2 linked regions of the Saccharomyces cerevisiae S288C genome follow. The protein of the gene in region 1 interacts with the protein of each later gene in a biochemical or structural test. Each region holds a gene or a part of one and is shown on either strand. Other genes may lie near its edges.

Region 1 (15,868 bases):
CATCCGGGGAGATGGTGGGTTCATACTAGAGGTGTTTACATTCCGGTCAGTTACCTGTCATTGGTCAAATTTTCTTGCCCAATGACTCCTCTTCTTGAAGAACTGAGGAATGAAATTTACACTAAACCGTTTGACAAGATTAACTTCTCCAAGAACAGGAATACCGTATGTGGAGTAGACCTATATTACCCCCATTCTACTACTTTGAATATTGCGAACAGCCTTGTAGTATTTTACGAAAAATACCTAAGAAACCGGTTCATTTACTCTCTATCCAAGAAGAAGGTTTATGATCTAATCAAAACGGAGTTACAGAATACTGATTCCTTGTGTATAGCACCTGTTAACCAGGCGTTTTGCGCACTTGTCACTCTTATTGAAGAAGGGGTAGACTCGGAAGCGTTCCAGCGTCTCCAATATAGGTTCAAGGATGCATTGTTCCATGGTCCACAGGGTATGACCATTATGGGAACAAATGGTGTGCAAACCTGGGATTGTGCGTTTGCCATTCAATACTTTTTCGTCGCAGGCCTCGCAGAAAGACCTGAATTCTATAACACAATTGTCTCTGCCTATAAATTCTTGTGTCATGCTCAATTTGACACCGAGTGCGTTCCAGGTAGTTATAGGGATAAGAGAAAGGGGGCTTGGGGCTTCTCAACAAAAACACAGGGCTATACAGTGGCAGATTGCACTGCAGAAGCAATTAAAGCCATCATCATGGTGAAAAACTCTCCCGTCTTTAGTGAAGTACACCATATGATTAGCAGTGAACGTTTATTTGAAGGCATTGATGTGTTATTGAACCTACAAAACATCGGATCTTTTGAATATGGTTCCTTTGCAACCTATGAAAAAATCAAGGCCCCACTAGCAATGGAAACCTTGAATCCTGCTGAAGTTTTTGGTAACATAATGGTAGAATACCCATACGTGGAATGTACTGATTCATCCGTTCTGGGGTTGACATATTTTCACAAGTACTTCGACTATAGGAAAGAGGAAATACGTACACGCATCAGAATCGCCATCGAATTCATAAAAAAATCTCAATTACCAGATGGAAGTTGGTATGGAAGCTGGGGTATTTGTTTTACATATGCCGGTATGTTTGCATTGGAGGCATTACACACCGTGGGGGAGACCTATGAGAATTCCTCAACGGTAAGAAAAGGTTGCGACTTCTTGGTCAGTAAACAGATGAAGGATGGCGGTTGGGGGGAATCAATGAAGTCCAGTGAATTACATAGTTATGTGGATAGTGAAAAATCGCTAGTCGTTCAAACCGCATGGGCGCTAATTGCACTTCTTTTCGCTGAATATCCTAATAAAGAAGTCATCGACCGCGGTATTGACCTTTTAAAAAATAGACAAGAAGAATCCGGGGAATGGAAATTTGAAAGTGTAGAAGGTGTTTTCAACCACTCTTGTGCAATTGAATACCCAAGTTATCGATTCTTATTCCCTATTAAGGCATTAGGTATGTACAGCAGGGCATATGAAACACATACGCTTTAAGTTTTATTTATAAGTGTTGTTAGAGGCTGCAACAATTAGAAACTAGTGCAAAACTAGTATATTTATTTGTATATGTAGTAGTAAAATAATAGGTGAAAAATTAACATGTGTTTGAAATTCCAGCTAACTATTGGTTATGGTGATTACACGCTAAGTGTAGAGTTCTTTCAAATATACCATTTATCCTTTAGCACGGCTTCACTATTTTTTTCGTCTTTTTTCAACTAAGCGGAAGGAGAAAAAAATTTCAAGTTATGCTCATCACTCTTTTATTACATTATGGTAGCTATAAAGTGGCTTATGTTAGTGAGTTGACGGAAAAGAGAAATACTTTCAATAGACCAATACATAACAAATCCTTTTGAACAAGATGCATTTGATGTACACTTTGGGCCCAGACGGCAAGAGAATCTATACATTGAAAAAGGTCACCGAAAGTGGTGAAATCACGAAGTCTGCTCACCCAGCTAGATTTTCTCCAGACGACAAATATTCAAGACAAAGAGTAACTTTGAAGAAGAGATTTGGTTTGGTACCAGGCCAATAGATTTGGGTAGTTTAAGGGAATATTGTATAGTACGTGATTCTGGCTAGTATGAAAATGCAGTGAATTTTCTTGTTTCATTTTCAATTTTCTAGACCTACATAAATTTGATAAGTTTTTAGGTGATAAATACTAATTATAATTGATCGATTATATGTTTTAATCTCGAAGGAGCAGTGGCCGTTTTCTTATCCAGAACCAGTTCTTTTAAGACTCGCCAGTTTCTTTTTAGCTGTAATAAGGAAAAATAGATTGATATTAGTTACAGTTGTGCTTCACGTTGTTAAAACGTACAAGAAAAGTCTTTAACTGTAGCAACCAAAAAAGGTACTTGATGTCGATATTAAGCCGCATCTCTAGATCTAAAGGCTCCACTCTACTGCTCCACTTTACTGCTCCAAAGAGTCGGCTTACAGATAGGCTACCGCTACATTAATAACTGTGCTGGAAAACCTTGTTTCCGGGAGCACAAAATTGTAATGACATATTTATTTTGGTTGTATCAAGCGTTTCCAACTGTTGATTCAACCAAAAAGCCTCATAGCTTTTAATACGGATATTGCTTAGGGTAGGGCGAAAAAAATAACCAAATCTTTGGAAAAAGCAGTTTGACACCATACAACCAGCAACGACATGGTTTTTTAGTGAACCTGTTGGGGGGAGAGTATAACTCGTGAAAGTTTCGACGTCCTATTTGCTGGAGAGTAGTAAAACGAGCTTGAATAGCAGCCTGCGAATCGAATTATGGAAACAATTGATATACAAAATCGATCATTTGTTGTTCGTTGGGTAAAATGTGGCCGTGGCGATGTAATCAATTATCAGATCAAGCCATTGAAGAAATCTATTGAAGTCGGCATATACAAAAAGTTGAAATCCAGTGTAGATGACCATGCTTCCGCAGTTCACATTGCACCTGACACTAAAACATTGCTAGACTATACTACGAAATCTCTATTACATAAGGGAAGTTCGAGTAATATTGAGGAGCATCACAGGCGTTCCTCACAGCACTCTCATAGTTCGAGCAATGGATCGGATAATAAGAGGAAAGAGAGATCATATTCTTCACTGTCCATTAGCGGCATACAGCAGCAATCCCAGGAAATACCCCTACGTGAAAAACTCTCTGCGTCAGGATTCACTTTGGTCAAGAGGGTCGGCAACGTTTCCGGTAACACTATGGTCCAAGGTGATCTTGAAGTGAAAGATACAGACTACTATTATGCATTTATACTGGACAACTCGTCTTCCAAGAATGCAAAAAAGAAAATTCTTTTTAACGCAAGTGTGATAAACGGCGATAATCAATCGATGATAAGCACAAGATCCACCCCTCCCGCAAGGCCTACAGCTTTAAGCAGAACATCTACTCAACAGGATATGTTATTTAGAGTAGGACAAGGTCGTTACTTGCAAGGCTACCTGCTGAAAAAAAGGAGAAAGAGACTACAAGGTTTTAAGAAAAGGTTTTTCACCTTGGACTTTCGATATGGAACCCTATCGTACTATTTAAACGACCATAATCAAACTTGTAGGGGTGAAATTGTCATAAGCTTGTCATCTGTTAGTGCCAATAAGAAGGACAAAATAATCATAATTGATTCTGGTATGGAAGTTTGGGTCTTGAAGGCTACAACTAAGGAAAATTGGCAGTCGTGGGTCGATGCGTTACAAACTTGTTTTGACGATCAGTTCGAAGATAAGGACACGTCCACTTTGGAAGAAAATCCCGACATTCTTGACGATGACAAGGAAGTAATTAATAAAAGCTCACCTCAAGACCACGACCACCTCACGCCCACGGCTACGACCAAAAGTGCACTATCACATAGACAGCATACTCAGAAAGACATGGATGACATATATGTCCCATTGCCCAGCGAATCTTACGCTACTTTCTCCATGAATCTACGTTTGATTCAACAACGACTGGAGCAGTGTAAAAAAGACTCGTTATCTTATAAACCAACTACTTTACATCAAAGATCGGAGGGGCTAAATGGAACACATTCGTCATCTTCCGTCTTTACCAATAATAGAGTGTCTTCATTCAATCATTCTTCTTCTGGTATGACGTCATCTGATTCTTTAGCCTCTGAAGAGGTTCCTTCCAACAAAACATATATTGAGCATGCTTTATATAACCAATTGGCAGATCTTGAAGTATTTGTTAGCCGGTTCGTTACACAGGGAGAGGTTTTATTCAAGGACCACCAGATCCTGTGCAAGAAAGCAAAAGACACGAGAGTTTCTTTAACTTCATATCTTAGCGAGAATGATGAATTTTTTGATGCAGAAGAGGAAATCAGTCGGGGAGTCATTATATTACCTGACACAGAAGATGATATTAATAATATAGTCGAGGAAACTCCCCTTCTTGGTAAAAGTGACCAAAATGAGTTCACAAAAGAGGTCCAATTGTCGGGATCCGAACAGATAGCTTCATCAAGTGTGGAGAGCTATACAACTAACGATGAAAATCATAGCCGTAAACACCTCAAAAATCGTCACAAAAATCGTCGCCGTGGCCACCCTCATCATCAAAAAACCAAAAGCGCCCAATCCTCAACAGAAACATTTACAAGTAAGGATTTGTTTGCTCTTTCCTATCCAAAGAGTGTTACACGCCGTAATGACATACCTGAAGCTGCAGCTTCTCCGCCAAGCCTATTATCTTTTTTGAGAAAGAATGTAGGCAAAGATCTGAGCTCTATTGCCATGCCAGTAACCTCAAATGAGCCTATTTCTATTTTGCAGTTGATATCAGAAACATTTGAGTATGCTCCACTTTTAACGAAGGCTACCCAACGTCCTGATCCTATAACCTTTGTTTCTGCATTTGCTATTTCCTTTCTTTCCATATATAGGGATAAAACAAGAACGCTAAGAAAGCCTTTTAATCCTTTACTGGCTGAAACATTTGAACTTATACGAGAAGATATGGGGTTTAGGCTTATATCGGAAAAGGTCTCACATCGTCCTCCAGTATTTGCCTTCTTTGCAGAGCATCTCGACTGGGAGTGTAGTTACACTGTAACGCCATCGCAAAAGTTTTGGGGTAAGTCTATTGAATTGAATAACGAAGGTATACTGAGATTGAAGTTTAAGACAACTGGAGAACTATTTGAATGGACGCAACCAACAACTATTTTAAAAAATTTGATAGCGGGTGAGAGATATATGGAGCCTGTCAACGAATTCGAAGTACATTCTTCGAAGGGAGACAAATCACACATCCTGTTCGATAAGGCAGGTATGTTTAGTGGAAGATCTGAAGGATTTAAGGTTTCGATAATCCCACCACCTTCGAGCAATCGCAAGAAGGAAACTCTAGCTGGTAAATGGACACAGAGTTTAGCTAATGAAACTACACATGAAACTATATGGGAAGTAGGTGATTTAGTTAGCAATCCGAAGAAGAAATATGGCTTTACTAAATTCACCGCAAATTTGAATGAGATAACTGAAATTGAAAAGGGCAATTTACCACCTACGGACTCAAGATTAAGACCAGATATTAGAGCTTACGAGGAGGGAAATGTTGATAAGGCGGAAGAGTGGAAGCTGAAATTGGAACAACTTCAACGTGAAAGACGTAATAAAGGGCAAGATGTGGAGCCTAAATATTTCGAAAAAGTATCTAAGAATGAATGGAAATACATAACTGGACCGAAGAGTTATTGGGAAAGAAGAAAGAAGCATGATTGGTCTGATATTTCTCAACTCTGGTGAATGCCTTGATGACATCAAGTGAACTTTTTTCCCCCCTTTGTACTCTATTTATTTTCCATCTTTAATGATCATCCACACAAATTACTTGTATATGCGTTCATGTATAGTATACTATATACAACATGAAGGACTTTATAAATTCTTGATCAATCTTTCACACTAATTTTATATTAACAGTTCTACACTATTTTTGTTTGCTTGACTGTAAAAACATTCTATTTTATGATTAGTTGCAAAACTTGAAAAAAACAATAGAATTTCATCACATAATTGAAAGATAATGAACTCTTTCAGTCAGTTAGATCCATGTTTTTTGAAGAAAAGTTTACGAACACAGGATCTTACAAAAGGTGCCTAAATTTGGAATTGAAAGTCTATTGCTATCAAAACTTGTCAAAGATAACATAGCTTGGAACATCTTATCCTTTATATGTCCTGCTAAGTCATATCAAGAGGCCCCAATAGTTTCGTCGAAAAAGATAAAGAGGAATATGGAAGGGAAATATAAGATTATCAACTGGTTACCTCAAAATAGACTATATGCTCACATCATCAATTGATATTGCTTGTAAAAATACCCCCAAATACCCTGGCATTCTTTTTTTGACTCCCTGCCAGTAATGTCACATCTTATCACTTTAGCTACATGCAACTTGAATCAATGGGCCCTAGATTTTGAAGGTAATAGAGACCGTATCCTACAGTCCATTAAGATTGCCAAAGAGAGGGGTGCCAGGTTACGTGTCGGCCCAGAACTGGAAATAACTGGCTACGGATGTTTAGATCATTTTTTAGAAAATGACGTTTGCCTTCATTCATGGGAAATGTATGCTCAAATCATTAAGAATAAAGAAACCCATGGATTAATACTTGACATTGGTATGCCCGTTCTACACAAGAATGTTCGTTATAATTGTCGTTTGTTATCCTTGGATGGTGAGATATTGTTCATAAGACCTAAGATTTGGTTAGCTAATGATGGTAACTATAGGGAAATGAGATTTTTCACACCTTGGATGAAACCTGGCGTGGTGGAGGACTTTATCCTTCCACCTGAGATTCAGAAAGTTACCGGCCAGAGACTTGTGCCATTTGGGGACGCTGTGATAAATTCATTGGATACATGCATTGGTACAGAAACTTGTGAAGAATTGTTTACACCTCAATCCCCCCACATCGCCATGTCTTTAGATGGTGTGGAAATCATGACAAACTCATCTGGTTCTCATCATGAACTGCGTAAGTTAAATAAAAGGTTAGACCTAATTTTAAATGCCACTAAACGTTGTGGTGGTGTTTACTTGTATGCAAATCAAAGAGGTTGTGATGGTGACAGATTATATTATGATGGCTGTGCACTAATTGCCATCAATGGTACAATTGTAGCCCAAGGTTCACAATTTTCGCTAGATGATGTGGAAGTAGTTACTGCTACTGTGGACCTAGAAGAGGTGAGGAGTTATCGTGCAGCTGTCATGTCTCGTGGCCTACAAGCCTCCTTGGCAGAAATAAAGTTCAAGCGTATTGATATTCCTGTAGAATTGGCTTTAATGACCTCCAGATTTGATCCTACAGTGTGTCCAACAAAAGTCCGCGAGCCTTTCTATCACTCTCCTGAGGAAGAAATTGCACTGGGACCTGCTTGCTGGATGTGGGATTATTTAAGACGTTGTAACGGAACAGGGTTTTTCCTTCCCTTATCTGGGGGCATTGACTCTTGTGCAACTGCAATGATTGTCCACTCTATGTGCCGTTTAGTGACCGACGCTGCTCAAAATGGAAATGAGCAAGTTATCAAAGACGTTCGTAAGATAACACGTAGCGGCGATGATTGGATTCCAGACAGTCCACAGGATCTAGCCTCAAAAATATTTCACTCCTGTTTCATGGGTACGGAAAATTCATCCAAGGAGACAAGAAACAGAGCAAAGGACCTTTCCAATGCAATTGGATCTTACCACGTGGATTTAAAGATGGACTCATTGGTATCCAGTGTGGTGTCCTTATTCGAAGTAGCCACTGGCAAAAAACCAATATACAAAATATTTGGGGGATCTCAAATCGAGAACTTGGCTTTACAAAACATCCAGGCGCGTCTAAGAATGGTTCTTTCTTATCTTTTTGCGCAACTGTTGCCGTGGGTTCGTGGTATCCCAAACTCGGGTGGATTGTTAGTACTTGGTAGCGCAAATGTTGATGAGTGCTTACGTGGGTATCTAACAAAATATGACTGCTCCTCCGCAGATATCAACCCTATTGGGGGTATTTCAAAAACTGACTTGAAAAGATTCATTGCCTACGCATCAAAACAATATAACATGCCAATCTTGAATGACTTTTTAAACGCTACACCAACTGCAGAATTAGAACCTATGACTAAAGATTACGTTCAATCGGATGAGATAGATATGGGGATGACGTATGAAGAATTGGGCGTGTTTGGTTACCTAAGAAAGGTTGAAAAATGTGGTCCTTATTCTATGTTCTTAAAACTTCTTCATCAATGGTCCCCAAAGTTAACACCTCGTCAAATATCTGAAAAGGTGAAAAGATTTTTCTTCTTCTATGCCATCAACAGACACAAGCAAACTGTTTTAACTCCTAGTTATCATGCTGAACAGTATTCACCAGAAGACAACAGATTTGACTTACGTCCTTTCTTAATCAACCCAAGATTTCCATGGGCTTCAAGAAAAATTGATGAAGTTGTCGAGCAGTGTGAAGCACATAAAGGCTCAACGCTTGACATTATGTCTATTGATTAGCACAGAAGAAGTGCTCACAGCAAAATAAGACTTTTCCACGAGTTCATATATTCTGTTATTTATTCTATCATAAATAAAGATATAAAAGTGATATTTAACCCTTATGTATTTTGCACGGTTTTGTGTTGACCCCAATTAGTCTTGATTACTACATTCCTAGAATCGTTCCGCTTCCAGAAATCAATTAAAGTGATTGCTGTTTTTATAGGCGAATCTTCTTGAATGAAATGCCCGGAATCTTGGAAAACTACCAACTGATATTTACCTTGCATTTGCCCCACAATTAATTCTTTATCGAGATTTTCGTTTCCCGCCAATATTAATAATTTACTAACAGGTAAGCCAACAAAGGAGTGCGACAGATCGGTAAACCATGTGTCCCAGAAAGGGCTAAAGGTCTTAAGGTTTGTTATCCTGACAACTTTCCCTGACTTGAGCGGAGCAAATAAAGCTGGTATAGCAATTTCGGCGCTTGACCTCAATCTCGATAACGCGTGTTGAACGTGCCAATCGACAGCGTCATTAATTGATTCAAATACATTGGGTGTATTCTGCAAAAAATGTTCAACTTTATTTAAGGCCATAATGGCAGCCTCTTCTACAATATCTAACATAGTAATACCAAGAATTTTCTTTTGTAGTTCTGTTGATAATTTAGGGTACGCAAAAGTACATATACTTCCACCAAGGGAATGACCAATTAGTATAACAGATACCTTCTGAAGTGGCTCTTGGCTTATTTTAGACTTAAACCAATAATTTAGCAGGCTTACAAAATCTTTGATAAAAGAGTCCCTGTCAAAGCATATAGGCGCATCAGCCTTCTTAAACTTTGTTTCTGCATGCCCCCTAGCATCAAATGCAAAGCATCCGCATCTTCCTTCTAGTTTAGTATTTAATTCCTTGGCCAAGTTTGCAAATGATAAACCTGAGGAGCCCGCCCCATGGTGGAAAATAAAGATGGGAATTGAAGTGGTATTTGATAACAATGAAGTAGGTAATGTATAGTATGTATTTACGTCCAGATCTCTATCAGGAAGACTTACCAACTCCTTATTATCAAAAAAATCACTCCAAGTGGGTAAACTACTCTTTTCCTTACTTGAAATTCTATCAGTAGTACTACCGGTTTTGCCCGTATATTTTCTGTTCCTATTTGATTGTCCATTAAATGATGGCAGGGAACCTAATGCATCACCATCGTTTTCATCATCCTCGTATGCTTCTTGGAATGTCGCATCTAGAACATTCTTGGCTCTCTCAAACTGGGATAAAGCAATTTTTCTTCTCAAATCGTCAGACATTGAAAATTTGAAAATGTCCTACCGTTACTACCAGTTTGTTGCCGTATTTTTGACTCTTTGTTGAGCATTAGTTGATCATTACCGCTGCAGTCAGTTAATGATATCCCTAAATAGGCATATTGTACAATTTCAAATATATTACCCGAATTACAAGAACAATAGGGTCTTCTACAATATTACTATGAACAATTCATAGGGGAACATAGTCCACTTCAATGTCGGTGCCAACGATTCTATTTGTTGTAAGTATATATGCTGTTTCCCGGCAATACTTTATATTGGGGGAATTTTCTGGAGGTTTAAGGGCATATTACTACGTCAAGGCTGGGATTGACCTTCTGGTATATATTACGTTGCGCAGGACATTCCTTATACTTGAGCCTTTGTAAAAACTTCTTCGTTCTCCTGACCAACCGTTCAATTATGTTGTGAATTTTTTGATCCGAGTTTGAAACATCCAAATTCACAAACAAACCGTTGTCATCCTGAGTTGGCGTCGGCCATTGAGCTTCCTCTATGTGTTTTAAATCTTTCATTTTAAGAAATCTAAGTAAGGAAATTGTTTCTCCACATGTGTACCGTATAAAGTTCTTGTTATGAATTAGAAGGATTATCACAAAAGCCCTCCATCAAATCTGATAATTTCATTACCCAAAGACTGTAATACCTTGGGTGTAAAGATCGTATTTTTTGATGTCTTCGTGATATTTTGCAGATCTTTCCATTTTATAAATTTCTGCAAATATCGTGCATCAGCTCATCTTGGAATTGGCACAATCTGCGTAATTTTTTTCTTGGTTCTCTTCTCCTTTTGATTTTAAGAGCGCTTTCTATTCAGTAGCAGATTTTCAGTAAATAAAGCCATCTTTCTCAAGTAAACTCATGATCATGCAGTTGTTCAAAATTACACCAATAACGATGTTATCTTTAAAACTTTCCCCAGAAAGAAGATGGCACTTTTGCACTAAATACTTCAAACTATTTAACTTTGAAGCAGGACATATTGCCGGTTATTTGACCATGCTGGCGCCGTTGACATTCATGTAAGCAGTATTAGCTTTTAAACTGCCATTAACGCACCTATACGATTGCGGCGGTGCGAAAACAGTAACTAGCACTCTTACGGCTCATTGTTTCCTCTATCCAAAGTTGCCTATATCACAATAAAATTAGAAATTAATCATTTTAATAAGCTTGCTGCCATTCAGTGACTCGCAATCTACGTTTTAAACGTAATTTAAAAATCCACTTCCACCTACATATTTTGCAACAGTCGTACGACAGAAACTGAGGCTCTATAAAATGAGATGTGCTAATTGTTCTTTCTTGGCTGGTTTCAGCTACATCTTTCTGTAATCAATCTACAAATTTACACGCGAGCTTCATTTTGACAGTAAACAAATGTAAAAGACACATGCAATAAAAGCGGTCCAGAAAACAAACGACAAAGCCACCAAAAATGTTTGCAAACGTTGGATTTAGAACTTTGAGGGTCTCGAGAGGTCCCCTTTATGGTATGTTTATTGTTTTATTCATTGGTGTGCTAATTGCTAAATTTGCGGGACAAATGCTAATCGACTCAGAGACTAACTTTTCTCATATCATAGGATCCTGCAGTCAAATCATCAGCTTTTCCAAGAGGACTTTTTACTCAAGTGCCAAGAGTGGGTATCAATCGAACAACAGTCATGGTGATGCGTATAGTTCAGGTAGCCAATCAGGCCCGTTCACCTATAAAACCGCGGTAGCTTTCCAACCAAAAGACAGAGACGATCTGATATACCAAAAACTAAAGGATTCTATTAGATCACCTACAGGAGAAGACAACTATTTTGTTACATCAAACAACGTTCACGATATTTTTGCCGGTGTCGCAGACGGTGTTGGAGGATGGGCTGAGCATGGGTATGACTCCAGCGCCATCTCAAGAGAATTGTGTAAAAAAATGGACGAAATAAGCACTGCTTTAGCAGAAAATTCATCCAAAGAAACGCTTTTAACGCCAAAGAAAATTATTGGTGCTGCATACGCAAAAATTAGGGATGAGAAAGTAGTGAAGGTTGGTGGGACAACAGCCATTGTGGCTCACTTCCCATCTAATGGAAAATTGGAAGTTGCCAACTTGGGTGATTCTTGGTGTGGAGTCTTCAGAGATTCTAAACTTGTATTCCAGACAAAGTTTCAAACTGTTGGATTTAATGCTCCTTACCAATTGTCAATCATTCCAGAAGAAATGTTGAAAGAGGCCGAAAGAAGGGGTAGCAAGTATATTTTAAACACCCCCAGAGACGCTGATGAATATAGCTTCCAATTGAAAAAAAAGGATATTATTATATTGGCTACCGATGGTGTAACCGATAATATTGCCACAGATGATATTGAGCTTTTTCTGAAGGATAACGCTGCGAGAACAAACGATGAGTTACAGCTATTATCCCAGAAGTTTGTGGACAATGTTGTCAGTTTAAGCAAGGACCCCAATTACCCCAGTGTTTTTGCGCAAGAGATTTCTAAGCTAACTGGCAAAAACTACAGCGGTGGTAAAGAAGACGATATAACTGTTGTTGTCGTGAGAGTTGACTAACACTCCGCTCTTTAATCTCCTGGAAAGCAGTGTAAATAAAAATACAGCGTCATAAACGGTACTATATAAACACGTAGCCATTTAATAGAGCCAAACATAAGTGGGCATATATAGTAAAAATTTAAAGAACTATATTCGCAAAAGAATCTCAGTCGAAAGAACGTTTTAAAACAATCTTTTTAATCTTGTTTCGCTCGGTTTTTAGTTTCTCTTCTTCTTCAAGGACATCAGAGACAAATTTCACATCCGTTGGTAATTGTAAAATTCTTGATTGTGTCTTCTTACCGCTTTTAGTCAAGAACGTAAATGCAATCTTCTTTGGCTTGGATAACTCTTCGTAGGTCTCCTTGCTTGAAGAAGGTTCTTCACTCTTTTTTAATAATAAAGGTTTTTGAACGCTGACTGGCTTCGAAATTACTGGAATTTTACTGGCAACAACCTTTTCGCTTTTCCTTGCGTCTATGGATTCTTGCATCATTTTCTGAAATTGCCTTTCCAATTCTTCTTCCGCTTTCCTTTCTTCCTCATCCTTTAGTTTTCTCTCGTACTCTTCATACATTCGTTTCATTTCAATATCTCTGTCTGCGTCAAGATCACCACCATACTCCAAATCAGAGTCGCTGTCTTCTTCTTCTTCATCATCATCATCCTCATCATCATCATCTTCATCATCATCCTCATCGCCTTCTTCTCCATCATCATCATCATCGTCATCGTCATCGTCATCATCCTCGTCATCGTCCTCATCGTCTTCATCTTCACTTTCGTCTTGCTTTGCCTGATGTTTTCCTGGCGCTGACTCTGTGTTCGGTGTACTTATCTCCGCGTCTTCATCTTCTCCTAGTAAATCGACACCATCGTCGTTTTCATCATCTTCATCCTCATCATCTTCGGTGATTGACTCGATAGGAACAGCACTCTCCTTACCGTTGTGAATGCTTGCAGAAGATCCCTTCACTCTGTCGTCTTTACTTTTTATTGCGTTTAATGATTTCAGTAAACTTTCCAACCTTGAGGCACTTTCTACCAAATTTTCTGACCTTTCAAATTTAGTGTTTCCGAAAATATTCTCATATTTTTTAAATGTGCTTGAAACTCTGAATTCTGTTTCCTTGGGTAAAGGTTGTTCTTTAATAAAAGTATAATACTCGAAAAACCTCAGCAAAAGTTTGCATTTCTTAGTAAAAGCTGCAGGGGTCCTGTTGATATTTAACAGAATTGTAGTGACTAGTTGAATCCTGAAATAATTATCCGGTGGATCTGAGTAGTTTAAATAAAATGGATTGGGTTGATTGTTGATATGACCAAACCGAATAATGTGGTAGATAGTATCTAACAAAACATCGGATTTTATCATTTCAAAGTTGAATATTTCAGTTAAGTATCTGACATTTGATATTCTATGCATGTTTTGTCCATAATCGTTAATTTCTAAGCCTCGCTCAATGTTTTCCAGTACTTGGTCTATACATCTGATGACGAAATCGCGGCGGTAACTGTATAGACCGCCTAGAACTTTTGTTAATAAGGGAATATTTTGATAGCTAATCTTATGTGGTTTTGAAAACAGAGAAAACAGCACTTTCTGAATAGCTACATCGTCCCAGTGAGCTTTCCGAACCAACTTGACAATGTGTTTGAAGTCTAGGCTACTTAGTTCACTTCTAATTAATATGCGATAAAACTGTTGTTCAGGCGTTATTGTTTTTACCGTAACATTTAATGATTTTACAGAAGGGGGATAAAGTAAAGTAATTATGTTTTCTAAGGCGCTTTTCATGTTCATGTTCAATTGCCTATCATTTTTTTTATCCTTGATTAGTTGGACCATTTTTTCCATTAATTCCTTATATTCTGGCTTATTTAGCAGAAATTTCCCTGAGTGCTCCAACAAAACCGTCAAAATTTCTACGTTATTTGGAACTTGCATATACATGATTAATGTTCTAATCTTATGAAAAATCATAAACGATGGTATTAATTGAAATTTAATCATTTCACTGAAGAAGATGATGTTTTTAACGTTAATCTTATTAGAATGTAATTGACTCCTGAAGCCATTGTCTAGGTAGTTAATAAACTCAGAAACAATTTCCGGCATATATTTGCTATTTGTTGCAATAAATCTGGAATACACTGGCAGTTTGCTCCAATCTTGTGTTTCCATGAAAAATTTCAATATTCGATTTCTTGTGGCTTTGTTGTCCAAATATGATGACCAATATCTATTTGAAAGGTCATCGATTATATCTTTACAATCTGCCATTTCCAAATCCGTAAAGAATAGATTGATATTTTTTGAGTTAACGTTTGAATCTTTTTCTGTTTTAGAAGATTGTGATTCTTCTACTGTTTTTGAGATATCTGGTAAGATTTCATAAAATTTCCTTGTATCTTCATTTTCCCATAATCGTTGGTTGGGTGGCAATATCTGATTCGTGATCATTGGAGAAGCTGTTTCTTTCAGATCATCATTAGAGGCACCTTCAAGCTCCGGAATTTCTAACTTAAAAAATTCTCCCAAAGTAATTGCAGATGTCTTGAACCTAATGAATATTGGAAGTAACTTGTCGTACTCCTCTACGTACTCATCTCTCAATTTTCCCGTTCTTATTTGGCATTTCTGATGTTCTCTTTGCAGTTTATTGACCTTCTTATGCAGTTCTGTGGCCCTCGCAAAAGTGGCGTCTATAAAATTCTTAAACAGAGACTGTAACGCACCTTTTAACTTCGAGTCATATATTAAATCATCCCAAGAATTATCATCGTCGCGAAACAAAGGTGCAAATTTCTTAATAAATGCGGTCGCAATAGTGGTAGTAAAGCCCAATTTGAACTTATAATTAAGAATCTCTCTGAGAATACTGAATAACAACGGATCCTTTCGCCCAGTTTTCTTCTGTAGGAAGTTTGGAATAGCATCTTTCGACTCAATATCATCCAATGTTCTAAAAACTCCAACTAAATAAAGCTCGGTAAATACCCGAAGATTACCTTTAACTCTGGTTATCCTTTGAAGCTCATCTCTTTCGGATTCAATGTCAACAGAGGGGTTCTCAAAAGCTTGTAAAAAAGCTCCTAAAAGCGGACTAGTAAATCGGCCATTGAACCTTTGATGAAGTCCACTTATGATCTCAACAGCGGCAATTACGTCATCATTTTTATTCAAAACATTTAGCAGACATTCTGTTACCGTCACTATTATCTCTGATAGGTACTTTTCCAAGGACGCCTCACTTAAATCTTTCAATAATGAAGATTCTGAACCTTTCACAAAACCCTTCTTTAGTTTTTTTATAAAGCCAGTGTTTCTCTTTATACTGGAATCCAGTTTTTTACTTTTCAGGGGAAAGACTTCTTCGCCATTCCAAGCTCGGGTGTTCAAATCATGCAATTCTTTTTTCCGTCCATCCTGTTG
Region 2 (17,185 bases), on another chromosome or scaffold:
TGTAGCTAAAATATGTCATTTTCCTTCGGCTTTACTTCCAATGACTTTGATGATGATGAGCTTGTTGCTCAACCTGAAACATTCGTTGAAAGCAGCAAAGAAAACGAAAATACCACTGCTTACATCAATCCATTAGATTCGGATTTCTTGTCGCAAGCTGGAGTTGTGCAGCCAAATGTGGAAGACCTAGGAACAATATTGGAAAGTCTTAAGGATGTTAGATTGACATTTGAAGAGTTCCAATCTCCGATATATAGAAAACCATTGATCAAGAGGGAACTATTCGATGTCAAACATCAGCTAATGTTAGAGACAGATGCCCAATCCAACAACAACTCCACGGAACTGGACATTTTACTAGGTGATACTTCTGAAGATTTGAGAAAGAACATCTATGAAGGTGGGTTGAAATCATGGGAGTGCTCTTATGATTTAGTTGATTTGTTGTCAGAGAACGTTGATAGAATAAGCAACGATATCGACGCGGTTGTCGAAATAGGCTGTGGTACGGCACTACCCTCAGAGTTTCTTTTCAGATCTGCTCTTCTACGGAATGATAGAAGTAAAGGTTTAAAGTTTGTTTTGACTGACTATAATGCCAGTGTATTAAGATTAGTTACCATACCGAATTTGGTTATAACATGGGCTAAAACGGTTTTGACAAAGGAACAATGGTACGCCTTACAGAAAGACGAATGTGAAGATATTCCAATAAATAATGAGGAACTGCTTCTTACCTCAAAGCTGTTAGCTGCCTTTTACGACGATGTACAAAGCAGGAATATCAGCGTCACTCTTATATCAGGATCGTGGGGACGTAAATTTAGTAATTTGATCCATGAAGTACTCTCAGGTAGCCAAAAAGTCCTTTCATTATCCTCAGAAACAATTTATCAACCTGACAATTTGCCCGTTATAGCGGAAACAATACTTGACATACACAATTTACCACAAACCGATGTCAAAACTTACGTAGCCGCAAAGGATATTTATTTTGGAGTCGGTGGTAGCATCACTGAATTTGAAGCTTATTTGGACGACAAAATAAACTCCGAACATCTACCAATTCATTCTGAAAGGTTTAAAGTTAACTCTGGCTTAAAAAGGTCGATTATATGCATTGAAACAAATAAAGCTATCCGATAGTTAGTATAATTTGTTTCAACTTCATTTCCTTAAGTTAATCCATAAGTCTTTTACTGTATCTTTTATTTATAACATGGATGAAAATAGAAAAGAAATATAGAAGTAAAAATTAAAGTAACTGTTCAATATACATAATATAATTGGAAAGCAAAAATGCAACCAACAAAAATATACAGTTTCTTTTTATCATTGATTCCCTTTTAGCCTTATTTGCTAATTCTGGCTTTCATGATTTGTAAGAATTCTCTGTAACTTTCGTTATTCAAAATCTTATCCTCCACTAAGGTGCTAGAAGCCCATAGTCTTAGCGTTGCAACTTCCCTAGCAGATGCATGGTTAACGGGCTCGCTCAAAGAGGCACCCCTAACAATATACAATGATTGGTAAGTGATGACATCATCATGGTTTCTCAATTGGTTGATAATGTTTCTTACTCTTTGATTGAATTCAGAATTTTCAACAACAGGTATTTCCTGTTTGCCAATTGGAATGTCAAAGATATCCTGTGTTCCAAACACATCGAATACTAGCGCTGGTACAGCGTCACCACCCATCCACAAAAACAATTCGTTACCATTATCTATCAAGTATAGACCGTATCTTTCAAACAACGAAGAGGTAGCATTGATTGGTTGAGGCAAAACAATTGTGCCAGTAGCTTCACCATCTTCAGTTTGCACTGGTAACCCAGCCTCATCAGCCATATCATGCAGCGAATAAACATCAGGGTAGATGTTTTTGATTAGATATTTCAAAGGTAATGATTCTAAGTTGTTCAAGGCCGAGGCGCGATGGTCACTTGGGACAATACCAGATCTAAATGCCATATGCTTAGTTAAAGAATGCATTAACAATGGGAACATTCTCAAATTGGCACATAACCTCAATGGGGCCCCCCCTGCAGTGTTGGACACCACTATTTCCTTCTTGTACGTGGCTAAGATATCTTGCACGGATTTGTTGATCAATACTCTTGCATCGTCCAAACTGGAATTCAATGCTTTCTCCACCGCCTTCGAGTTGTAAAACGACGCTATAGCTAATTGGTCAGCAGATGCGTAGACTTCTGCCAACGATTCCGTGGTTGGCATAGCCAATGTTATAATTCTTATTCTACGTTGACTATTATTCAGAGATAAAAGTACCGCTACTTGAACATAACAATAGTCAGCCATAATGGATTCATCAACGTTAACTTCGAATAAGTATGATTGATCTCTTGGCATGGTGGAAAATGCACATAAATCAGATGATCTATTGAAGAAGTGACCATAGAATCTACTCATTCTCAAACCTGTGGAACCACGGGCTCTCATTACGGTTTCCATACAGAAATCCATGGAAATGTGCTTGGCAAACTCAGTGGAAAATTTGACAATATCATTTGGGTTCTTGCCTGAAAAACCAGGATAGAAATGCGTTTGACCAGCAGTGAAACGACTCAAATTCGATAGTGATGCAACGTCCATATAATCTTCAGAAGCCAAAAATAAATCGACAGTAATCTGTACTTTAGAACAATCGATGGTGAAATTCTTATAAAATGAGTCTTGACAGGAAAGTAGTTGTGCAGTTTCCTTGGATGTATTAACAACACCACTTTCATTTCTCCTTTGTAATTTTCCTATGCCTAAGTTGGGCAAAGTACCTGACACAACAATTATTTTACCACCAACGCCACCAATTAAATGATAAGCGGATTTCAAAGCGGGGCCCAGTGCGAAATTTGTGATTAAATTAGATTGGAAGATTTGAGGAATCTTGGTCAATAAAGTTTCAATGTTTTGTCTGCAGGCCTTTAAGGACACAACCATAGAGTTTGGTCTGGGCAAGAAAGGCTCTTCCAGGTCGGCAATATCCATCATGTTGATTTGATCGGCGGACTCTTCATTGTTTTCAGAATCCAATGGGATTTTAAAGTAGTGAATGGCGTTGTCTACACATAAGATGGAAATTCTGGTTCTTTCATCATGGTTTGGAATGGAATCAAGATTTTGCAAAAGGGTGTTGATGGTAGTGGCCAGTAACCCACTCTTGATAGAGGACTGGGAGACATCGATCAGGAAACAGTAAGTGGCTGGAGGTGGTTGTCTTAGAGTATATTCCTTTGGGGCCATATATTCCATCACAGCACATTTGATTTCATTTCTGTCGTATCTACTCTTTGGGTCGTTTGGATCGCTCTGGTCCATTTGCATAGGAACGTCATTGGCCAGACGACAAAAGTTACATCTCCATCTTCTGCCTTGCTCGATAAAAGTGACAAAAGGGTTCATGTAAGAACGACAACGACGACAACGGACAATAAGTCCATCTTCATTCAATGGAGGCGGGTCGATATCGTCGTACAAGTGTTGGTATGGTCTGATAACAAGCCCAAATGGAAGTTTAGACTTCTTCAGCAGGGAGCTGTTCTTAGGAACGGCGTTCAAGGTCGACCTGATATAATCTGGAGACGCATTGGACAATTCAGAAGGAACTAACATCCTTTCTGGAGGAATAACCAACGGTGGGGGAGGCAAGGTCAGATCGGTAATTGGAGGAGGCAATTCCGTCAACAGATCGATTGGATACAACTGGTTCATGGGCCTCATGTTTTGGCCCATTGCGGCGCTAGGTTGGCCATACGCAGGCGCTGCCATTGGTTGTTGCTGTTGCTGCAAAGGTGTGCCCATTTGCACGGGAACCTGTGGCTGCATATAAGCGTTAGGATCGACTAGCGGTACGTTGTGCAGATGCATATCGTTCATGGAAGTGGTGGCCTGATCAATTTGCTGGTGTAACTGTTCTTGAGCAGGGGTTAGGAATTGTTGCTGCCCCATGGAAGGGACTGCACCCTGTGGCGGCATTCCCATCTGACCATAGCTCATTCCAGCTGCAGCAGGATCCTGCGGAGGCATGAATTGTGCTGGCTGTTGTAGAGGGGTGGCATTTTGTCCATACTGGAGCTGAGCTTGTGGGTAAACACGTTTCTTGTGATGAGACATTTTGCAGATGGTCTCAGACTTATATATTTATGTCTGTTTCAATGCGGCAAAAATGGACCTGAGTGCCAGATAAAACCTTTTTGTAGTGCTATTTTTGGCCTGTTTCCTGATGTACCATCCTCCTTACATAGTTTTGTTTTTCTTCGTTTTCGTTCTTCCAGTTTTCATTTTCTTCTGCCGTAAATGGAAAAAACAAGAAAAAAAAAAAGAGAACAGCTAAGCGTTAACAAATCTGCTCCAGTGGCCATGTCCAAGACTGTTTTTCAAGCCCAGATAGTGCCTGAATAGACTGCATTAAGCTGAAAAACTTATAGCAGTGGTTAGTGCAAAATGCACACTTGTCAGTGCTATGTATATTTGTGACACGATTCTATCACCCAAACATAGCACTAATTACTTTTTTGTTACCCGGCATTCTAGGCGGAAATTTGCTGAAATTTTCCATCAATTAATTACGTAACCTATTCTTTTAAGAGCATGATGTTGTATATAAATATAGATCACCTTAGGAACAGTCAGGCTTTCTTAGGTTTCAGAAGTTCATGTGTCTTGGCGCAGTCAATTCTCTCGATCTTTTTTTGGTTTGGACGTTTAAGAGTAGCGGTCGCCGGAAAATAGAGAGAAAAAGGAAATTTAAAAGGAGTTCTTCTTTCTTCTTATTATTAGATCGTATACAGTAAAAAAAAAAAAAGGAAGTAGTAGTTCGAAGAGAAAGAAATAAATGGTAGGCTCGAAGGATATTGATCTATTCAACCTGAGAGAGAACGAGCAAATCGTTTCTCCTTGTCTTATCGTGCACGGAAAATGCAATAAGCAAAATGGTGCGAAGACCGTTCAAGTGCAGCATCCACAATTGCCTCCAATTACTTACCCCATACATAATCAGTTCTTCAAGGCCACTGTGATATTGACTCCTGGTGAGAACAAGTTGACCTTTGTTACAGACACTAACACCGCTAGGACAATCGTATGTTACTACACACCACTGACGCAGAACCCTCCCGTACACCTGTGTCTGATCTTGGCCAAGGATTCGCCTTTACAGTTTGACTCTCCTCGAGAACAGAAGGACAGAGAGGGCGGGAATGGCCTCGAATTGGCAATCAAGAAGCTAAGACTTGGGGCCAGACTCATGCAAGCGTACACGAACGAGCAAATGCTGAGAAACAGTATGGGAAATAGGACGTTTCCCTTTGTTGAAGAATTTACCTGGGACACGCTGTTCGAACGGCCTGCTATGAGAAACACCATCAAAATACATGTAGTTCGTTCGGAAAAGACGGTGAAGGAAATCCAGGACCCTGACATAGCTCAACAGAATTCCAAAGGGAAAAACACCGGCGCCCTTTTTGGGATAGCCATGGACGCCCTTAAAAGTTACGGCGGACCCTTCACCAATAACGAAAAGCCTGTTCAGGCAGCTTGTATGTTTCTAGACACCCACTGGGATGGTAAGTTGATTAGAGGCCACGCCGCATTGGGTGGGGGTGACGACAGCATTAAGCTCGCCATTTTTGGGTCGCACGGGCTTTACTCATGGCCTACTTGTCTCGAGCAATTGGTGCCTTATTTTACTGATGAGACAAGATCCTCCACCAGTGAAGTCGCCAACGACTGTAATGAGTGTGGTACTTACTGGGAATGTTTGACTATCACGTTGGGAGCATTTATGCATGAGATTGGTCACTTACTGGGTTGTCCTCATCAGGAAAGCGGTGTTATGCTAAGAGGCTATACCACTTTGAATAGGTCTTTCTTGACTAAAGAGGCTTATTCTGTAAGAACTAATTCAACTGGTGCTAGTCCTCCCATCTTCCCCAAGGAAGAATGTACCTGGAACCGTCTCGATACGGTAAGATTTTTGTACCACCCCTCTTTCACTTTACCACAGGATTATTACGATCCATCGTTCATGAGACCTACAAAATTGGGCGGATACCCCAATATAAAACACTCTGTATATCCTTTGGGTAACGGCAGTTGCCGCATATTATCGCCCACAGGAATCTATTTGATTGAAATTATATGTGATGATTTGGCCAGGGGCCATATTGAATACTTGCCGGTTTCCCTAGGTGGACAGGGGCCTCAACGGGAAGTTATAGTAACATTAGATGATTTACGTGCCAGGTTGCCCAAGAATGAACTCGCCAAGTTTGGCAATACCTTCAAATTGAAAATTCTTTCTGTTAATGCACCGGAAACCGAGTTCGACAAGTTCCCATCTTTGTTAGATGTTCAGCCATTAGACATGTCGAAATATGGGTTTTCTAAAAATGTTCAAGGTATCAAATCACCACTTTATGGTCGCAGCGACGGTGGTAATGCTGTCGGCGTCGTCGCTTTTGATGTTAGATTAGTCACTGCTGTGAGAATATACCATGGCTATGCATTAGATGGTGTGAGGTTTTATTACAAGGAAAAACCAACTGGAACAAAGGATGCTCCCGCATCCAAGCCCTCTGTACCACCAAGAAATTATTTCTCAAAAATTACACATAGTATCAAAAATCATGCTTCAATAAACGAAGAAAATCTAAAAAGTGTACTCTTTGGACATGAAACACAAAATTTTACGGATGCTACACTAGAACCGGGTGAAATAATCATTGGGTTTAATCTGAGGTGCGGAGCTTGGGTTGATGCTATCCAAATTATAACGAGTCATGGGAGAATGACCGACATGTTTGGTAACAAAGACGGAGGTGGGTTCGCTGAATTGCAGCCACCTAATGGCCAATATATCCTAGGTGTGACTGGCAGAGTCGGTCAATGGGTCGACGCCTTCGGAATTATTTACGGAGCTTTATAGTAATTAGTCAAGGTTTTTTTTTTCTTATTTTTTTCTATTTCATAACTTAGTCATATCAAAATATATCTATTAAATTATTTTCCATATATACGTAGATATTCTTCATTTGCATAATTCTTTGGGAAAAAGGAAAACAGTTATAGAAAAATATAAACAAAAAACCGCAACACTTCATGATTGCGTCGAACAATATACCTTAAAGAAGAAAAAAAAAGGTTGGTTTTATCACTTCATTAGTCTATTTGAATAATTCATAAAATATTTCTGATTTTTTTTTTTTTTTTTTTTTTTCATATTATTTTAAACGTGACTTTGGCTGCGATTCATGGTTTTTGCCCTTATATCTTCGTTGTCATTATTATCAGCATTATTAGGATAATCCTTTCCATGTAATAGAAAACTTTTATTTTTCAACATGGATAACTTTTCGTCCACTTTATCTATTTCAAAAATTTGCCTTGGTGTAGCCGCTGACTTCTTTACATTAGGTACATTAGAAGCCGCTTTATTGTTGTTAGCCAAAAGAGGATTCACGTTGTTTTGATTTGGAACAACCCTGGGACGATGTATCGAAATTGAGGTACCTCCACCATCTAAGATGTTATTAGAAGTATTAGTGGCCATAAGTGGTGCAGATAATGGTATTCTCGAATCACCATTTTCATTCTTGATGTTAAAGTTGCTCCCAATGAGAGTGGTATTATTGCTGCCAGTTTGAGCACTAACGCTATTCTTGGGTTGTTCTGATAATTCACTCTGGGATGAAGATGCAGAAGTAGGATTAGATCTTTTTCTTGACAAAAAGTCACTTGCAAAGCTGCTTCTTGCACTTGGCGGAGCTGTTGGTATAACAGAATATCTTCTTTCATTATAAACAAGGCCAACCTCCTTTACTCTGGTGGTATTCAAGTCCGTTTGTGGGACCTTAGAAAATGAATCCGATGCTTCATCATACTCCCATAATGACCAAGTGATTCCATATGGTTTTGGTTCTAGGCAATATACACAATGTAATGGGACATCCAAATTGGCAATAATACCCATACTCAAGTTCATAAAATAACCCAATAAGGCTCTTGCCACCACCCGGTGTGTAATAATAAGAACGTTATCCTCGATTCTTTCTAGTTCTGTGATAACAGGTCTGAGTCTATTAATAACGTCCATATACGATTCACCGCCAATACCAGGGTATCTGTATCTCAACTTATCTTTCTGTCTTTTTTCGAATTCTTCAGGAAAGTTGTTTTTAATTTCTGGATATGTCATACCATCATAATCACCTGCACTTAACTCATCTAACATTTTCATTTGTTTGATAGGATAATCATCTTCGTTGAAATATTGAGCAGTCCCTATAGTCCTAGCACGCATGCTGGTCCAAACGAAAAAGTCATTATAAATGTTCCCATCTGTATTTTCATTATTCTTTTTTTGTTGCATGAGATTTTGATAAAATATTTCTCTCTGTCTGGCAATGAATTTTGGTAGACTTTTAGCAAATCTTAGACCACGAGGAGTCAAATGGGAATTTCCGCCTATACGGCCACTAACATTATCTTCGCTCTCGCCACTTCTCGTTATCCAAATTTGTCTGTCAGCCAAATTGAAATTTAACAAATAATATACCGTCTGCGAAGCTAAAAACCCTTGAATATTGTATGCGATGACTTTCTTTCCCACATCTATCATTTTGATGTACTGCAAATTTTCGTCATCCTCAATTGGTTCATAGGCTTTCAAGTAGTTTGCCAGGCGACTTTTAAAATCTTTTAAAGAGCTTTCAGGATCTTTACCTTTGTAATCTGGACCAAATAATTTGAGTCTAATATTTTTCTGTACCAGTGCATGATCCGAACAAACAGATTCTAAAAATAAAACCTTCAAATGAGGACTTCTCTTTCTGATTCTAGCCAGAACGTTTTTTCTTCTTTCACGAGAGGTATTTGTAGCATCAAAAATTCCCACAGATCCTGAACCTTCTAATAAATAATCTAGCAATTCATCCAGAGTATCCATGGCCCATTTGTCTCTCAACCTAGTAGAGTCGGCGTTTTTCGGCTCGAAAAACTTTGAATCCTGGTCCTTTAGGCCATGCTCCTTAGCAAACTTCCTTCTAGTGTTACCGACATTAAACACTTTACAATAGTATAAAGAATAATTTAAAAATCTGGATAATTTATTTGTAATAAATGACTTTCCCGTAGCTGGCAGTCCGACCATGACAATCACTAACTTTGATCCACTATCTTCCTTTGATATGAGACCATCTGGAGATGTTTTAGACTTTGTTAAACCAGGAACATCGATGGTGGTAGGTCTTCTTTTATGGTGTCTCGTAGGTGATTTAATGTCTTTCAAATCAATCCGAGTTACCTCATTTGCTCCATCTGAAGGAGGCATGTAGTCAGTAGTATCGTTTGTGGGAATTTTAGCATTTTTTAGTTGCGTTTCGTCGTTAATATGCAATCGATGTAGCGATTTCAAATTAGTAGCGCTATTTTCAGGAGAGTCAGAAGGTGTATTTTCTTCAGTGATTCCAGGAGAGTTCCAATTGCTCGATATAGGAGTATCGCTCAAAGGTCTTTTCTGAAAAAGTGGTAAGTGCTTAGATAATTCATCATGCGGACCCTTTTCAGCATCAATTTTATCATCGGAACTCCGGGATAAAAGATCATAACTGGAGTCTTGACTAGGTGCCACATGGTGTGGAGATTGTGTAGGAGCAAGATCAATATCAGGCGGCACAGGAGATGTTTCAGAGAAGTCTACTGGTTTGAACATGAGCTTTTATTCCTCTTGCCTTTGTTCCCTTGAATAAACCCTTCTTCTACGCCTCTTGTTATTATTTTTACTCTTTTAGCTTATGGCACAAAAGTACACAAATAGATACTAAAAGGCGAAATTTATTTCACTTGATTTACCCGTAACTGAATACTTGAGTTTGTCTATATATATATATGTATACCTTTTATTGTTAAAAAAAGAATATGCCAACAAAATCTATAATAAATAGTCCATGTACTCCACTATAAATTAATTTGCTATTGTCAGTAATGGCGCGATTAAAAATAAATAGGAAAAGAAATCTCTCCTCAAAAAATCTTATGTCCCCTAATTTCCGTATGTTGTGATTTTGGTATTCAGAGATGATCACGTGATATAAACGTGATTATTATTATCGGTCGGGTATCCCACTCGTATAATATGACAAATACGTTCGATCAAAAGAAGGGTAATACTACTTCCCAAAATGGAAATATCAAAACGTTAGAAGAATTACAATTATAGCTTTGGTAACATTACTGATCTAAAAGAGCCTTAGCTCAGCCCGTTTGAGCTGTATAGATATTTTTTTAGTTTATTCGAGAGAAAACCGGTTTTTTTGTTAGTATCTTCAACAAAATTTTCCTAATTCAATAAGGACTTCAATTTCCATGTCTTTTCTACAAAATTTGTATGTTGCTATTTTCTTTTCTACTTCAAGTATTATTGTTCATCTTTTATTAACAAACTGGGTATGAGTTACCTTTTGAAAGCAGTCATATAAGTCCCGGCCAAACAATAAGATCTACTAGAGGTTTCAAGTGGAATACTGCCAATGCAGCTAATAATGCAGGCTCTGTATCGCCTACTAAGGCAACTCCCCATAACAATACTATTAACGGCAATAATAATAATGCCAATACTATTAACAATAGAGCAGATTTTACAAACAATCCAGTAAACGGATATAATGAAAGCGACCATGGAAGGATGTCTCCCGTCCTCACTACGCCAAAGAGGCACGCCCCTCCGCCTGAACAATTACAAAATGTAACGGACTTTAACTATACACCATCGCATCAGAAGCCGTTTCTACAACCGCAAGCAGGTACGACAGTTACAACACATCAAGACATCAAGCAAATTGTGGAGATGACACTGGGGTCTGAGGGAGTCCTTAACCAAGCTGTGAAGTTACCGCGTGGTGAGGATGAGAATGAATGGCTAGCGGTTCATTGCGTGGATTTTTACAATCAGATTAATATGTTATACGGGTCCATCACAGAATTTTGCTCCCCACAAACATGCCCGAGGATGATAGCGACGAACGAATATGAATATCTTTGGGCATTTCAAAAGGGTCAGCCCCCCGTTTCGGTAAGTGCCCCTAAGTATGTGGAATGTTTGATGAGGTGGTGTCAAGACCAATTTGATGACGAATCTCTTTTTCCTTCCAAAGTCACCGGTACCTTCCCGGAGGGATTCATCCAACGAGTAATTCAACCAATTCTAAGGCGATTATTCAGAGTTTATGCGCATATTTACTGTCATCATTTTAATGAAATTCTTGAACTAAATTTACAAACCGTACTAAACACAAGTTTTAGACATTTTTGTCTTTTTGCACAAGAGTTCGAACTACTAAGACCGGCTGATTTTGGTCCGCTGTTAGAATTAGTGATGGAGTTGAGGGATAGGTAGTATTGTATATTTATATAAGTCTGCTTGTAGGTTGTATTCTTCCATGCATGGGACACAAAAACAAAAATACGGAAACATATTAATATAACATATGGATGGAAGGAAATAAAAACATTCTAGTTTACTATACTTGTATTTATGATTTGAAATCGTTTATTGGAGTTTGAATATAAATATTGGGAACTTGATCTTGTAATTCAGAATCATTAGTATCAGGTAATGAAGACATGGATGTATTCGTATTTGTTTGATTGTCCAATTTTGGTGTTACCGTGGACCCCACATAATTACTATTTATATCATCGTTTTCATCATTTTCTACCATTGTGCTATTGGCATTACTCAGCTGATACTTATTAATGCTGGTATGGTTATTGGTTAGCTTGGGTTTCCCATCTGAATTCAAGTTTAATTTTTGTGTTATGAATTTATACTTGTCTTGTATATTCGAAGTAGATGTTAAGATCTTCAAATTATCAAACCAAGACATCATTGATTCATAAGAATCGGCTTTAAAAACCCAATTGTGACCACGACGAATTATGCCGTTTTGCTTAGCATGCAACACAAACTTAGCATCCGAACCAGTCGAATTTGGTGATGATGTACTGTTTTTCCGGGAATGTTCCGTCACAGTACATTCACTTAATGCTAACGACATCACTGGTACTAAATCTTTTTTTCTGTCCGCGGTCTTGAATTCATGTAAAAAGTTCGGTGTCAGCACATAATACCCTTTTGAATAGGATTTTAGAAATTTTGATCTTCTTTCTAAAAACCCTGATTTGATTTCATAAGTCAAAGGATCGAATTGGTATTTGTAAACGATTTCTTTGAATGTCCTCATCGGTAGATTAGGCAATAAAAAGTTGGGATCCCTTGAAATGAAGTTATCCCATTCAAATTGTGGGTCAACGTTGAAAAATCCAGAATCTAATTTGGATATCAATATATCGAAAACCAATTGTGCTTCTTGTCCCAGTAATCTGGCATATATTGTTAAAGAGTTTTGAATTTCCATAACTACAATTTTTTCTAATTCAGCGCCTGAAGTCTCTAAATTATCAAAAGCTTCATGCAGAAAGTTTTCCTCCTGAAGTTGCTTTTTAATTTGTCTATCAAGCGCCAGCTTGGTTAAGAATGGATCTTGTTTTGGCACTGAATAGCGCGCATCCTTTAAAGACTCCTGAAATTGCTTCATGGCCTGTTTTGTTTGTTGTAACTCTTTGGAACAAGAATTTTTGAAATCCGACTGCAGTGATTTTATTTCCTTTATCTTGACTATTAGATCTCTCCTCAAGTCTTCCAAACGAGGAATAACATCATTGGTCAATTCCCTTGATGCCTTAGACGCGCTGGATGCTAGGGATTCATGATACTGGTTCAAAATTGTTGGTAAGTCCTGTATCGAGCCATTACCCAATGGCAAAAAAAACTTTTGTACTGATTTATCCTCCTGCGAGCTTGGTTGGTATTGATTCTCGATCGAAAAGAATGGGAATTGTACAGCATGTGATAATCTTAGTTGCTGTCTAACAATTTCATCCTGAATAGAAGCGATTTCTGTTAAGTAAACGATCACCGACTTGATGACATTTCTCCAAGCTGAAAACCTCGCTGCAAGAATATCTGTTGGTTGCGCAGCTGTAGGGACCAGTATTACTAATGGAGATCTAGGATCTTGTTGTTGTTGCTGTTGCTGAGCAAGTCTTTGACGTTGTAAGGAAGACCTAGCCCTCGACAGTATTGAAGTGTTGGTTAAAGAGTTTTTCCCTTGGAGCTGTTTCCCGTTGTTATTATTGGGATCTGGGACAGCAATGGTTACATTGGTGTTCGAGTCGATATTAGGAGAACCATTGCTTATGATACCTTGCAACCCTCCAGAATTCATCGTCAGCGTCCTATTGTTTTGAAACGTTGAATTACTAGTGGAAGGAACTGGTTGTCCATTCAAATAGCTTTGTTGGTTTATATCGGATGTCAAACTGCCATTTTGAAAGCTTGCGCTCTGCTGCTGTTGCTGCTGCTGCTGCTGTTGTTGTTGTTGTTGTTGTTGCTGTTGTTGTAAAACGTTGGCATGATCTGCTGAAGTCATACTTCTCGTATGCTGCTGCAAGTTATGCAGGTGCTGAAGATTTAGCTGTTGCTGTGACAGCATATCAGAGACCGCAGAGGTCATTGTGTTGTTTTTCGACATTTTTTTTTCTTTTAATGTTGTATTCTTTTATTGTTAACTACTTTTTTTCTTTAAAAAGCTTCAAAAGAAGATGACCAAATGCAGATATAAGAACACTCTAATAGGTTGTACCAATTCAAGGGCTCAACAGATGTCCTCGTTGTTTTTCCCCCCCCCAGCTTGGATCGCTGTCACTCTTCAAGGCTTGAAAGCCTTCTCCCTTCTTCGATGGAATACGTAATGCCATGAGGGGAAAAGCCGCGGGAAGAGAAGGGTAACCCAATTTTAGGCCCCTGCAGGAACGTTAATCAATATATACTCTATCTAATGCAGTAATCTACGCTAAACATTCAAATGATCTTCATTGTGGGTTCTGCTGCTGCTCTCGGTATTCAGACTCTGCCAAAATTTCCATCTCTCTTATATTTAGTGTCTCCCACTCAGGTTCGCCAGTTTGTTCGTTGAACGATGCAATACATTCAAATTCAATATCCTGCTTGGAAAGTGACTCTTGCTCTTTTCTCATTTCCAAGGCCAGACTTCTTATGACGTTCTCACTACCCTGAGAAATGAACCACGCAGTCAGATCATCCAAGAGAACTTTGTCGTAGACGTAGTAAACATCATGGAAACGAAATGTTTCATGAATGTCCAAAAGCGCCCTTATGACTAGTCTCTTACCACCTCGTAGAATATAATATACGAATGTCCACGCTTTCATTGCTAGGTCATAGTTTCTATGTAGTGGATAACTCAGGGCTCTCCTGATACCTGTAATGATTGCAATCTTGATGAGAGAGCTGTCTTTATTAACCTTTGATATTTCTTTCATACCGTCTTGCAGTTCGTTCACCTGTTTTAATTGTTGGTCTAAGAATGATATTTGAGGGCACAATTTTCCCATGGTCCAAGCACTCTCTGTGGTATGAGTACCTTCGTTTTCGATCTGTTCAAACACATAACTGAAAAGAACGCTGAGTATAGTGACATAAAGTGGTTTTATATCTTCCACGAGATAAGACTTCTTGGGTAAATTGTCCTGCATCTGTTTTTGTTCCTCGTCAGTAAACTCAATTGGCATGACCAGATTTGGGTTCGTACTGTCTTTGTACCATTGCAGGTATTGCTTTACGATCGAAGGTGTAAACTTCAGTAGTTCTTTAATGCCGTTAATTTCCAAGTCTTCCTCGTTACCGTATTTATGTGTCATATACTCGGAAACATAGTACTCAGGATCAAACTTCAAATTTTCTTTTCTTAACCTTTCAATAACTCTATCGTTCGCGTCAGTGTGTTCAGGATCGTCTAATTCATTGATATCGTTCCCGTTGCTTGTCGACACTGATATAACTGTATCATATAAGTTATCAAACCCATATTTTGTCTTCAATATTCCATTATTGGTGCTGGAATCCATCTTTTGCTCTATCTCCCAATTAAACCCCTCTCCCATTTGACCAATAGTCTTCACATCATCTTTAATATTATTCGACACGCCATCAGTTTCGACCTCTTGAATAAGGGGCTTTTGGGTTTTTTTCGCATCAGTATTTTCTGTTAATGCATCGGCACCTGCAAGATCGCCTTGCCTAGCCAACAACTTTGTCGGTAGGTCCAAATCTTCGAAATATTCATTTTTATTCAGTTTGGCTACTTTTACATTGATGCATTCATCTTTGGAATCGTATTGAGCGGTAGACCTCTCATCATCGATTAATTCGTGAGGAAATCTTAATCTTAAATAGTAAGGGGATAAGTGAAAAATGATCATATTTTCTTGGATGATTATCTCTAAACCCACTGCACTGAACCTAATATTACTTATGAATATTTTGAGAAATATAAATTCCTCATCCTGTGTTATAGAGAATCTTGGTGTTATCATTATAGTTCAGAAGTGATGGTAGATTATAGCAAGTATTCTTCTTTTGTGAATCTTAATATTACTCTGAGCACTTGACACTGAATATTTAGTATTCAAAATTTTTCAGCTGATTTTTGCGATGCGATGGTGATGAAAAAAAAAACATGTAGTAGTAATAACAATCAAATAAAATAAGTGAAATCTCATGAACTATCTGCTGCGAATTTTAAGGATAATCGGATAGCTTGAAGCATTTCTTTTTCGTAATGAGTGGCTCTACAGAATCTAAAAAACAACCAAGAAGAAGATTTATTGGGAGAAAATCTGGCAACAGTAATAATGACAAATTAACTACAGTGGCTGAAAATGGCAACGAAATAATCCACAAGCAAAAGAGTAGAATCGCCCTAGGTAGGAGTGTTAATCATGTGCCAGAAGATATATTGAATGACAAAGAGTTGAATGAAGCCATCAAATTATTGCCCTCTAACTACAACTTTGAAATCCACAAAACTGTGTGGAATATCAGGAAATATAATGCTAAAAGAATAGCCCTACAGATGCCTGAAGGTTTGCTGATTTACTCATTGATTATAAGTGACATTTTGGAACAGTTCTGTGGTGTTGAAACTCTAGTAATGGGGGATGTGTCTTATGGTGCATGCTGTATTGATGATTTTACTGCTAGGGCATTGGATTGCGATTTTATTGTGCATTACGCTCATTCGTGTTTAGTTCCTATTGACGTTACAAAGATTAAAGTACTATATGTCTTTGTTACTATAAATATTCAAGAAGATCATATTATCAAAACGCTGCAGAAGAATTTTCCTAAGGGATCTAGAATCGCTACATTTGGTACCATTCAGTTTAATCCTGCGGTACACAGCGTCAGAGATAAACTGCTTAACGATGAAGAACACATGCTGTATATTATTCCACCACAAATCAAGCCTCTATCGAGGGGTGAAGTATTGGGGTGTACTTCTGAAAGATTAGATAAAGAACAATACGATGCCATGGTATTCATCGGTGATGGTAGATTTCATTTGGAGTCTGCAATGATACATAATCCGGAAATTCCTGCATTCAAGTATGACCCATACAACAGAAAGTTCACTAGAGAAGGATACGATCAAAAGCAACTCGTGGAAGTTAGAGCAGAGGCCATTGAAGTCGCTCGGAAGGGTAAAGTTTTTGGTCTGATCTTAGGTGCATTAGGTAGACAAGGTAATTTAAACACTGTAAAAAACTTGGAAAAAAACCTGATCGCAGCAGGTAAAACCGTGGTGAAAATTATTCTAAGTGAAGTTTTTCCCCAAAAGCTCGCAATGTTCGATCAAATTGATGTTTTTGTTCAGGTCGCATGTCCTAGACTGTCCATCGATTGGGGTTATGCCTTCAATAAACCACTATTAACACCATATGAGGCTAGTGTCTTACTAAAGAAAGATGTCATGTTCAGCGAAAAATATTATCCAATGGATTATTACGAAGCTAAAGGATACGGGCGTGGGGAAACTCCGAAACATGCGATTGAATAGTTTAAATAGTTTTTGTTGTCACTTGTCTTCCTGTTACATATGTATAAATAGTTAGTATCATATTCTTCGGAGCATCTTTTCTATTGTTTAAACGTTTTTGACGGCTTGCAGGCGAAACTAAATTGTCTAAAATTCAAAACAATGCCTTCTAACTTGATATCACTGCTGGTCAAGCCTATTTTTATTCTG

What was found.
Region 2: the proteins of NOP10 (region 1) and SHQ1 are reported together in a solved structure, tested with the Saccharomyces cerevisiae proteins (one study listed by BioGRID).

Annotation. Positions count from the first base shown.
Region 1 is NC_001140.6:239,776-255,643, forward strand, and holds NOP10 (snoRNP complex protein NOP10), read left to right. Parts: upstream 1-1,888; coding exon 1,889-2,065; downstream 2,066-15,868. Other genes in the region: lanosterol synthase ERG7, read left to right, coding at 1-1,518; oxysterol-binding protein related protein OSH3, read left to right, coding at 2,807-5,797; QNS1 (glutamine-dependent NAD(+) synthetase), read left to right, coding at 6,418-8,562; PPE1 (phosphoprotein phosphatase methylesterase 1), read right to left, coding at 8,664-9,866; type 2C protein phosphatase PTC7, read left to right, coding at 11,326-11,380, 11,474-12,450; NMD2 (Nmd2p), read right to left, coding at 12,599-15,862.
Region 2 is NC_001141.2:156,033-173,217, forward strand, and holds SHQ1 (Hsp90 cochaperone SHQ1), read right to left. Parts: upstream 15,474-17,185; coding exon 13,950-15,473; downstream 1-13,949. Other genes in the region: HPM1 (protein-histidine N-methyltransferase), read left to right, coding at 13-1,146; COPII subunit SEC24, read right to left, coding at 1,353-4,133; YIL108W (putative metalloendopeptidase), read left to right, coding at 4,855-6,945; PFK26 (6-phosphofructo-2-kinase), read right to left, coding at 7,246-9,729; MOB1 (Mob1p), read left to right, coding at 10,383-10,402, 10,488-11,412; SLM1 (phosphatidylinositol 4,5-bisphosphate-binding protein), read right to left, coding at 11,549-13,609; YIL105W-A (uncharacterized protein), read left to right, coding at 11,632-11,772; DPH1 (2-(3-amino-3-carboxypropyl)histidine synthase), read left to right, coding at 15,719-16,996.